Linked DNA regions of Schizosaccharomyces pombe. Changing the gene in region 3 together with the main gene of any one other region gives a genetic interaction. Each region holds a gene or a part of one and is shown on either strand. Other genes may lie near its edges.

Evidence for each region.
Region 1: of mes1 (region 3) and cuf2, changing one suppresses a phenotype caused by changing the other (phenotypic suppression), as found in Schizosaccharomyces pombe (one study listed by BioGRID).
Region 2: of mes1 (region 3) and spo5, changing one suppresses a phenotype caused by changing the other (phenotypic suppression), as found in Schizosaccharomyces pombe (one study listed by BioGRID).

What each region holds. Positions count from the first base shown.
Region 1 is NC_003421.2:1,529,998-1,533,260, reverse strand, and holds cuf2 (Cu metalloregulatory transcription factor Cuf2), read right to left. Parts: upstream 1,136-3,263; coding exon 1,104-1,135; exon of another isoform or gene 1,054-1,103; coding exon 961-1,053; exon of another isoform or gene 917-960; coding exon 508-916; downstream 1-507. Other genes in the region: SPOM_SPCC584.03C (GTPase regulator), read left to right, coding at 1-239.
Region 2 is NC_003423.3:2,534,421-2,538,855, reverse strand, and holds spo5 (meiotic RNA-binding protein 1), read right to left. Parts: upstream 2,707-4,435; 5' UTR 2,636-2,706; coding exon 2,406-2,635; intron 2,358-2,405; coding exon 2,014-2,357; intron 1,959-2,013; coding exon 829-1,958; 3' UTR 602-828; downstream 1-601. Other genes in the region: histone H3-H4 chaperone, CAF assembly factor (CAF-1) complex subunit A Pcf1, read left to right, coding at 1-537; ccr1 (NADPH-cytochrome p450 reductase), read right to left, coding at 3,357-4,435. UniProt on the Schizosaccharomyces pombe protein: RNA-binding protein which plays a role in sporulation. Regulates the progression of meiosis I and may function in the vicinity of the Mei2 dot.
Region 3 is NC_003424.3:1,496,795-1,500,638, forward strand, and holds mes1 (protein Mes1), read left to right. Parts: upstream 1-2,103; 5' UTR 2,104-2,390; coding exon 2,391-2,564; exon of another isoform or gene 2,565-2,639; coding exon 2,640-2,771; 3' UTR 2,772-3,290; downstream 3,291-3,844. Other genes in the region: mug86 (acetate transmembrane transporter), read left to right, coding at 353-1,267. UniProt on the Schizosaccharomyces pombe protein: Specifically required for meiosis II (MII). Binds to slp1, an activator of the anapahase promoting complex/cyclcosome (APC/C), and counteracts its function in promoting proteolysis of cdc13.

The DNA.
Region 1 (3,263 bases), on a different chromosome or scaffold from region 3:
CTGAAGTTTCAACACGTCAAACGAAAAATGTTGATGAAGAGGATTCAGCTTTATTGATGGCTAGCCCTTCTGTCCGGAAGTCCAATTTACTTCCTCAGGAGGACCTCATTTCAAAGGATTCTGTGATTAAATTAAAAGAAAACCCTTCTGTTATTCCTCATTCCGAGCCTGAATCATCGTCGAAAGTTATCAACTGCCAGGCTAAATTAAATGTGGAAAAAGAAAAGAAAAACCCGTGAAAACTTTATCAGAGTAATATTGACGCTATTCAATACACAACTATTCTAAATTTCACTTCCCATGGGAAATCCTTGAAATGGTGTTTGATCCCCAGTAAATTTGAATACATAGATTTCTCTAATGTTATATGCACCTTTTTAGACGACCAAAACATTCAAATTACTTCATCTTTTTATGATTGAATACTTTATGTGAGAGTACTTATACATATGATATGACAATAACCTTCATTTGTCGCTATTTGGAATAATAACGAAAGTTGTGAATTCAAGGGATTCCGGATATATCGTCTTTGGAATGTAAGTACTTTGCGAAATTGAAAATATCGGCCTCTTGGTTTATGGTAAAAGAATCGTTTTCTTTTTCATTCAATTGACTTGCATCAATGCGATTAGAAGCATCTGTTAGTGAAAGAGGTTTCCTATATCCTAATATATCTTCACTGATGGGTAGTGTTCTTCCTAAATCGAAGGTGTAGGCTTGACTTGCAGGATTTAAAGAAGAATTCATAATATCTTTGTCGGTTGAAAACAAAAAAAGGCTAGCCAATATTGGGTTTTTCTGAGTGAAATTTAATAACTCCTGATACTCATTGGCGAAGGGTAGAAAAGGCTGCAAATGACAAACGCATTTTAAATTACTCTTAAGTTGTTGTTTTATGGCTCTGCATTTTTTGCTGAATTTCAAGTTAATATTTTTTTTCTGATCAATGTGACATACCATAGTAACGGCCTTCCTCTAGTTCGAACTTCTATCAGTGCCCTTTCTTGATGCTGGCAGGATGAGCCTCGATGACCTCGAAGGCATACAACACTAGAGTAAGTGTTAAAAATTTTATCTTATAACCATACAAAAAGTCTTACCAAGCATAATTCTTACCGTCAATAATGATCATGATTGAAGGTATTTGTGATTAAGGGAAAAGAAGACAAGTAGGATTCGAGTAAATAAGCTAGTCGAGGAACGTTTTAAATAAATTCCTCTTATACGTTCTCTTCCTTTAGGTTGATAAATTGTAAATGACAGCTTTTTCCCAAATTCCTTTTTCCTCGTCTCTGCTTTAGCTTTCTGATCCAGAAGAATTGCACAACGGATATTAATAGAAGACAAGACGAACAGCTAAGTGTTTTAAAATAATATACTTTACTTTTAAATATTTCCAATGTTTGTTGTTTGTCAAAAGTTTGAGTGCTGGCATAAATTATTTATAAGCTCTAGCTATGGACATTTGTTTACATATTATGGGATAAACAAATACATCAACTTATTGACACTAACCAACAATAACATACAAAATAGGAAGGTATTAAATCACTATGTTCAATGTTTTTGAGCACAATTTCGTAGAAAAGATAATTTTGATTTAATGAGTGTGCAAACTGATCAAATTGTGATTTTTCCTCGAGGCGATTTCATTCTATGTTTTTATGATTGCGTCAATTCTCTAAGCAGTTTTGCGATTTTCTGCACTCTAAACTTGTTAAATAACTTTTGTTTGCAAAAGGTACCAGATGCTATAAAGACTGGATTTTGTTAATATACTACTTTATATTATAACATATATGATTTTCAGATTACAAAACAGCTTAAAAGTTTGCAACCTAAAGACATAATAACTTTTTTATTGATTGCTCATTTATTTTAATTGATTATTATTTTTCAGGGTTATATCGAGTTACTTTGTTTTAATGTCAGGTTTAAAAAAATAATTAAATGAAAGTAAATGTAAAATGAGGTAGGCTTGTCAGACCCTTCAAATTTTTTTAAAAAAAATTGAAATATTTCTTTCAGAAAGGTATGATTAAACTCACAATTTTTTTCGATTTCAAAAAATCTTTTAATCAATTTGAATATTTGCTACCTACAAATATTGTCACATAATAGAAATGTAGACGAAGTGATTTCATCAAATTAAGGAACGTTCAGTATTTTAAAAAAAGATATGTAAATTCTACAATTTGTGACGATTTGGAGATGCTACTATTTGAAATGTAAATGTATTTACATAAATGTATATTTGCTGCTAGATGCTGATATACTGGGTATAATGAACATAATTACAGCACAGTACTTAGATGCATTTAGCGCACTATGAATAAATCAGTAAATATTGAATACCTGTCAATTTTCTGGAGATAAAACTAACTAGCTAAACTAAAATCATATAATGGAGCTTCTAAAATCAAGTACGTTGCTGAAATCGAACACATCAATACGTGCGGTTCTTTACTCAAATTCACTTGACATTCTATTTCATGTTTTTCAGAATGCGAAAGATGATAATGTCTTTCTGATCAGATTGCTACAAGATGAGACTACTAAAAGTATTGAAATTTAGAAAACCTTATAAAAACAATAACTACCTTGCACACACATTTTCTTAATTTGATGAGAATAAAACTGCTAACCCCAACGGTCGTTATTTATCGTCTGGGTATCCGTAAATCTCTGTATACCTGTTCAAAGATATACAACGTCACATCTGTCAACTACATTCCATTATGTTGTTAAATCCCTTCAAATGTAAGCTACGCAGTTTGGTATCTGATTTAAGGATACGTAGAACTGCGGTGAGTTTTCCTTGTGATCTATTATATTACAATACACAGGTTGTATAAGTAGCAACTGAGTATAGGTATTGTATTAACTGAGTTATAATGTTACCTATCACTAATATAGCTTATAACTGAACTGAGGAACGAGGTTCAGCAGTAGCTCTATTTATATTATTCAGATAATATAGATCTTGATAGATTATCATTAAGATCAATCTCAATATCGTATCATACATGGTACTATATATAATTAGAACATGTGACATATAGTGATACGCAACGTAGTGTATTATAGCGTAGTGTAGTATTGCTGACATCAAACAATTCTTTAATTACAGTAAGAAAAAGCACCTCCATTATCCTTAATAAGAATAACGAGCTATTGAAAGAATACGTTGTTTATACCTTTAAATTAAGCGATTATGTCGCTTTAAAGTAGCAACAATTGGTGTGATACACAAGCGCAAT
Region 2 (4,435 bases), on a different chromosome or scaffold from region 3:
GATAATTCCGATGATATTGTAGAGGATGGTGATAATGCTTTTGTGGATGATGAGGATGATGACAAGGATAGTGTCAATGCTTCTAATACCCATCGTTCCTCCGGCCCATTAGAGGTAATCGTAGAAGGTCCGGTTTGGGATTCAAAGTTTCTTCCTGACTTTAATTGCTTATCTTTAATTGAACCCATTAGTTCATTTTCAGCATCTACATATCTCCAAATTGATCCTAAAGAGGATTTATGGGCTTCTCAAGATACTGCTCCAGCGTCTAGTGGAATGACAATTGGACCTACCAGTTCACTTTCTGATGATTTACAAGTAAGGTTTCCTTCTGAAGATATACCCAAATTTATAGAATATGTCCGTAACTCTCATGACAACAAAGTATTCCTGATCGAGAATTTGAGGCACATGTTTCCTTACGTAACCAAAAATATTATCAGCGAAACTCTTGGAAAAGTCGCTGTGCGTAAAGGAAAATCAGTATCTGATGGTTGGATAATCAAGGAGAATTTTGCATCCCTTTTATCCTCTTAATTCACAGTGTGCAATTATCTTGAACACTCAAGGACTATTTATACCTCTCTCTTTTTATACGATTAAGCAAATATGTATAATATCATTCATTAATACTGTAGTGGTTTGACCTTTGTTATATAACCTGATAATAAATAAAAGAAAAAACATAGAAAGAAAGCTTTGGCCCTTAATTGTAAGCTTTGTCTAACAGGTTTTATGTTGGTTTAAGTTTGAGTATGTGATAAGTGTTTGAAAAGATTTCGATATTAGAGTTTGATGTTCAAGTAAATGCTGGAAAGATGTTTAAATTTAATTAGCAGCAGAAGTAGCGGGATGGGCATGATATGGCGTAGTACTTCTGCTGTTTTCATAGTTTGAGGGATAAACGGAATAAGAGGGATACATACTTTGCCAACCGTAAGTATCATAAGTGGGTGAATGTTGATAGACTGTGTTCGACTCCAATGGCACATACATTCCAACTTTAGAGGGCATAGAGTTATTTGCGAACTCCTCAACTTTGGAAAAAGCATTATTAGCTGTCATTCCCTTAGTTAAAACACTGTATTCACGAGCACGCCATAATCTTCTTTTCTGAGTCTGACCTTTAAACTTCTTCTGATCAGTGGAATCAGCAAAACGGATTTGTAATGGGGGTAAAGCAGGATCCAAGACAAAGTTATTAAATTTATTAATTATGTCTTCAGCCGTTTTACGATCTTGCATACGAGCAAACCCAACACCTCGAGATTGTTCCTTAGAGTCACGAAGTACGCGGTTTGATATGATTTTGCTGGGTTTAAACAATGTGGAAATATCACTTTCATTCCAATGAAGAGGAAGATTAGAAATATACAGATTGGTGCTTTCTGTGTCTTGTAGACTTTGAAGACGTGCACTGAAACTTTCTTTTGCAAATGAACACTGATATCCACATAAAGTCATGGCTGAAATGCAAATCAATGCAGATTTCTCTTCTTCAAAGCATGCAAACCCATATCCTTTACATAAATTCGTTTCCATATCAATTATTGCTTTGCTGCTACTAACTTTACCAAAACGATTGGTGTAAAGCAACAAATTTTCATCCGAAGTGTTGGGAGGTAAACCACGAATGTAAACATTCCGAGTACGAGAAGTGCTTTCCATGTTACTTTTTTTATTATCATGAGACATGGGAAACATGCTGGGAATGGCAGGAGGAATTGCAGGATGCAATCCAACCAGTTGAGAAAGGTAATTTGTATTCTCCTTTGTTGTACCGACACTCATTTCTTGATTAATGGCAGCGGGAATATTTTTTTGCCCTTGGGAAAAAGAAGGCATCGAGAGAGAAACTGAATTCGTAGGCACAGTCGCTGAAGGAACTGGCGCGAGATATGTTGGTTGATTGACAATATGAAGTCCCGGCTGATTTAAAGAGGGCATTTGAGGATATACTAAAAGACGAAAAGTTTGGTAAGTATTAGTTTTTTCATAAGCTGTGTATCATACCATTCTGAACATATGGTTTTAAATACTGATGAGTATTGTTAACATGATAAGGGTGAACAGACTGATGAGTCTGCCATTGTGAACCATAGCAAGGAGCTACAGAATTGAATGCAGGACGGAATCCAGAGACACCCGGTCGATTGTTGGAAATGGCTTGTGACTGTGCATAGTATGACGGATAATAAGAGTTGGCATAGTAGGCGTTTTGTTGTGGCAGTGTTCCATTATTAATATTGTTATTTGCATATGAAATAGGATCGGTTGTCATAACGGTTGATTGATCAGCAGCACGCCTATTTAAATACGCGGCCTGTGCTGCTGTAGAATAAGTATTGTTTTTTATACTATATTCCTAGTTAGTATTACATTACACATCTGTAATAGCCCTTTACCTGTTTGGCTTCTTGGAAAGCCCTAACTCGCTAGAACCAGGCGTTGCGTTTGGGCTTGTTCCTGGTGTTAATAGTATAATTGTAGAGTCCAATCCTTCACTTTTTTTCGTGTCATTGACATCCACAGTTGTTTGACTTGTTGGAGTAGACAATTCGGTAGTGGATAATGGATCACGAGAAGGAGAAGACATTAATTGTTTTTGTTTTTGAGGCGTAATTATTCCATTCATCGCTCTTATATGCTTTAAGTAAATAATTTTTAAATTATGTATACTTTAATGTTTGAATATATGTTAAAGGTAAGTTTTTGAGCGCGCGAAATCTGTTAATAAACAAATCAAGGATAGCATTGTGTTGCATTAGATTTGATAACGTAGAAAAAAAATACACTTAAAGGCTCAGTTTTATTATACAGTTAGGATACATGTATTAATTATGCTTGTACTTTTGGAAACTTAACTTTTCCGCATATTACTCAATGTTTTGCGTTGACAAGTACACATTGACCGAGGATTTAACTTATAGCATCCTGTACTCTAACTTGATGCGTGTATTTTTAAAGCAAAAAAAGAATTATCAAATACTTTCTATTGTATGTAAATTGATCAAACATTCGCAATCGCCTTAATTATTGAAGTGCAATGAAGTCGACTGCCAGTGTTTACTTTGTTACCCAGCTTTAAGTCGGTTTAGGTTTTTCAATCATGACAAACACAGCACTTTGTGTAGATTCGCATTTTCGGTAGACATTTTTGAGCAGTAAGAAATTCAAGTTGGCAGTTTATTTTTGATATTATAACGTTACAGAGTACTGTTCGTTAGTTGCTACAAAAACTATGTTTTCTATAGATAAAAATACCGAGTGGAATAATGATTGTATTAAACTATTTCTAAGATGAAAAGGCATCATTAAGTCTTGAAGTAATCGCAAAGTCTGGATAAATTCCAAACTTACCAGGTATCTTCAAAAAATCTATTGTCATCTCGAAGAGCTTTAACGGCTTTCATACCGTCAACATCAACAGTGGTCAGAATAGAAGCCAATGCATTCACAACATCTTTAGCCATATGATCAGCATCACCGCAGATATAAAAAGCAGCCCCTTCTTCTACAAGTTTAGCAATGGTATCACTGTGCTCTAAAAGACGGTGCTGAACATAGATTTTATGATCTTGCTCACGGGAAAATGCGGTAATCAGTTCAAAAGAGTCTTTCAAGACATCTTTGTATTGTTGCCATTCTTCCTTATATAAAAAATCCTTGTCAGAATATTGGCAACCATAAAATAAAAGTGTTTTTGCTACTTTAACTCCTTTAGAAGCTAAATTAGCCCGTTCCATCACAAAACCGCGGAATGGGGCTACACCAGTACCCGGGCCTACCATTATTATGGGGACATCGGGAGGAGCCAATCGAAAAGTAGATTTCTTTACAAACATCGGAATTTTTCCGGTCCAGTTTTTACGAGGACCCTCAAGGGTATATTCCAAACCATTTGGATGTGGAATTTTTTCACCGTGCATATGACGACAATGTGCCAACAAATAATTAGTAGTTAGTCCATAAAAGATATGATTCTTATCAGTCCATTCTTTCTTGTCAACTACCGCTGTAACGTGAACTTTGTCAGGATGCACTACACTGCTCGAGGAAATCGAATAGTAACGCGGTTTCATGTGTGCCATATTTTCCAATAGCATTGAGAATGGAAGTTTTGTAAATGGAGCGTCAGGAGAAACACGACGAAGGACTTGAGCAAGGTTTAGGTGCAAGTCTACAACGTTCTTCTTAAAGTAGTCATAATCGTTGCCTAATTTCTCGAGTTCTTGCTTAGATTCTGGTGTAGGAGCGAAAGGAGCAATAAAAGAAAGCAGTTGCCTGGAGACGATACCACATATTTCATAGTAGTAGCGAAAAACAGTGTCATAGGTAGTAGGACTTAAAACAGGAGCCTTATCGAGAGTATCGATAGGTTTAACAATTATTACAGTATCCCTCTTCTCTTTGAGACCGAGAACTTCGAGAAGAT
Region 3 (3,844 bases):
CACTATTTTTCGTCTGCAAATTTTTTTTTTTTGCATTCCTAAAATACCTGACATCACTCAAATAGGTTCAACGCTTCTCCTCGTATAAATTGCCTATTTCAACCCCCTTTACGAAAATAACTTTGTAGAAAAAATTTTTTTCTTAAAGCGCATTTTCAACTTATTTCTCCTTTTTTTTCCTACATAAAATCACTGCTTTTTCTCGTCAGTTTTTGTAGACATTGTTTTCCCACCTCAGCTCAGAAATCTGTCCCGTCCAAAGGTAGCACTACTAACTGTACTCCAATTTTTTTTTTTACTTTTTTTTATCTTTTATCCACCCAATCAAGTTACTGTCGTTCTTATTTCCGTCATGTCTAGTAATCCCTCTCGTTCAAATTCTCGCAGCAAAAATGGCGATTTGGAGTCCGGTTTGAAATTCGTCGATAACGATCATGACTCTAAAGATATTGAAGCTCGCAACCGCAATCACTTTTACGGTTTTCGTGCCGAACCCATCTATGACCAAACCGAGCGTTTAGCCAACCAAGTCGCTGAATTGCAAGAACAACAAAAAAGATTGTTTGGTCCGTCTGGTGCTGATTTCGAGCCTAATATTCATCGTCTTCGTTATATCAATTATGGTAATCCTGCCCCTTTCGGCCTCAGTGCGTTTGCTTTCACTACGTTTCTACTTTCCCTTTTCAATGTCAATGCTGGTCATGTCAAGGTTTCCAATATGGTTACTGCTCCCGCTGCTTTTTACGGTGGTTTAGCTCAACTTCTCGCTTCAATGTGGGAAATGGCTTCGGGAAATACGTTTGGTGGTGCTGTTTTTGGTAGCTATGGCTGCTTTTGGTTAAGTTATGCTTCTATTTTTATTCCCTGGTTTAACATTCAAAATTCTTATGACGATCCTAATGACTTTAATTATGCTATCGGTCTTTACTTGATATGTTGGTTTATCTTTACCTTTTTGGTTTTGCTATGTACAGTTCGCTCCACCCTAGCATTCTTTTCTCTCTTCATGTCTCTGGACGTTTGCTTTTTGCTATTGGCATGCGCATTTTTAAGAACTTCTGACGGCTCTCCTAACGTTGTTCTCATTCGAGTTGGTGGTGCATTTGGTATCTTCTCTGCTTGTGCAGCATGGTACAATGCTATGGCAGGTTTGGCTACTATAGAGAACTCCTTCTTCACTGTTCCTCGTGCCATCTTCCCATGGAGTTTGGAAGGACTGGGTCCTGAAGAGGCTAACCGCAGACGTATGATGGCTGATGACAAGTAAGAAAATGACCACTGTTATGGTCCTTTTTCTTCATTGTGTTTTTATTGTTTTCATTAAGTTATTTGTTTCTTCAAAAAAAGTTTAGGTGAAAACAACTAGGTTGCCCTCTCGTTACAAGATATCGATTTATCATCCCAAATGGTGATTTTTTGACTTTTGAAAAATGTTTTTCATATTAGTCTTTTACATTGTCAAACTTTTTCTGGACTACTCGAGTCAGGCCATCAAATTCGTACATCCTCACTCCCGTTTGTAAATGTCTTCTTTTCTTATGTTTTAACCGTATCCTTATCATCAATTTCTCCCCATACTCCCTTCTCTGTACATTTTCTCCTTTTACATTCATCATTACTGTTGTTGAGATACCTTCTCCCATTGTTCCCAAAAACAAATCATGTACGAAGGCTACTTTCATGCCATTACTATTCTCATGATAGTTTAATTAATGTTTAATTAATAATCCATAATTCTTTTATTTTTTATTTGTTTTTTTCAAATGTTACAAGGAAGAAAAGTAGAAGAAGTCTATTGTTGTATATTCGTCGTCCTTATCAATTTATCTGCAAAGCGAAAAGACTGAAGCTTTTCAATCATTTTCCGTTTAAACAATTTAATCCATTGTTTTGTATGCTTTGGATCTAACCAATCTAATGTAATGGTAAAGTTCAACAGTCTGAATGTACGATTTTGTATAATTAAATTAAAGACTTCACTCATAGATTATATAAACAAATAGAAATTTCAAAATTCTCAATTGTCAATGCATGTTTACTGAGTTGCCAATTCCAGTATATGTTTGCAAGTAGTTATTTCACTTCTACCTATTATATGACCCCATAACATTCCCCACTCCCACTACTGTAAACAAACGCCTCTGAGGTAAACATTCCGACTTTAGAAGAGGTATGATTACCAAAAGTTTGTTTACATCAACAAGTTTCTCACACTGAGGCACACTGTTCTGTAATTTCCGTATATCATATCTATATTTACTCCGACTTGCTTCTTTTCAAACATTGCATTACTTATTGGATACATATTAAGAATTATTACAAAATAATTAATATATATTTACAGTAAATATTTCCCCGGAAAACTCCCTGTTCTCCCTTTATTTGAAAACATGGTAAACACCGACAACAAGGAAAATGAGCCTCCAAACATGGAGAAGGCCCATATGGATTCGTCCAATGCTCTTTATAGAGTTCAACGCCCTCTACAACGTCGTCCTCTACAAGAATTAAGCATTGAATTGGTGAAACCTTCACAAACTATTACGGTCAAAAAGTCTAAGAAGGTTAGTGTATAGGAACTTGAGATATTTTGAACCAACTCGTTTTATTTAAAGTATTTACTAACATTTTATTTACAGTCGACTAATTCTTCCTCTTATTTTGCCCAATTGCATGCCGCATCCGGGCAAAACCCCCCACCAAGCGTGCACTCTTCTCATAAGCAACCGTCTAAAGCTCGTAGTCCCAATCCATTGCTTTCAATGCGCTAGAGGTTTTCGATCTTTTTTTTTCTTTGCGTTTCTCGTCCGTTCATCAAGTCTTCTTACTGAATGTAATACCTCTTAACTTCATTTGTACTCGAAACTTGTATATCCTATTTTTTCTATATTACACTTCTCAAATATTTTTACCCTTTTGCTTCAGAACAAGCTTTGCTACGTTCACTTGTTGACATTTCCTAAATGTCAGATTTTGGTGAATAAACTGATGAATTGAGCATGGTCCCATTCCTTGATTTTAGTCCTTTATGCTATTCTTGCTCCTTTTTCCCTGTGGCTTAAATTTATTTCCCTTCAATCATAATACTTATCTAACAATTTCGCATACATAGATTGCACTTTTATGGTATTTGCTTGCAACCTTATCGTTAGTTACATTGGATGGAAAGGTATTGTTTAAGCCATGTCTTTTAACATTTATATTATACTTAGGAAAAGGGCTCTATATTGTTTATATCGCTTTTAATATTATTGCTTCAAAATCGATAACTGCTGTTCTTGTTTGTAGCGGCATCTAAGAATAAGTAATCACATGTTTAAAACCATTGAATAGCTGGAGCGCAGCTCCAAACAAGGTATTAACCAAGAAAAATTTTAGAAAAGTGAGTCTCTCCCTCTCTAGGAAAGTGATTATTACGTCTATTGCTTTTGCTTTAAACATTTTTTATAAATCTTCAAGCTAGAATTTATGATATAATAGCATTACAAACGATTTCTGTTACTCAGCTTTTCTATAGAAACCCAAAAAATATACATTTCAAAAGAGTTCTAGTAAAAGATTACAGCTTTTTAAAAGTTAAATGTCCCATTCCTAAAAAATGTTACAATTCCCTCATGTTTTTCTCTTCTTTTAACGTACAAAATCAACTTTCTTAGTTCCCTAGATCGTGTAGTCTACGTGTTTGTTAATAAAAATAGCGATGCAACATATGGTAGAATTCATCTAATGATTCTTAAATAACTTTATGATACTACCGTAGTGAGGTAATCTAAACATATATTACTGTACTCAAGCTTATTTTGTTAGCTTATAGTTGGTTAACAGTAGTCTTAAGTGAACTGAG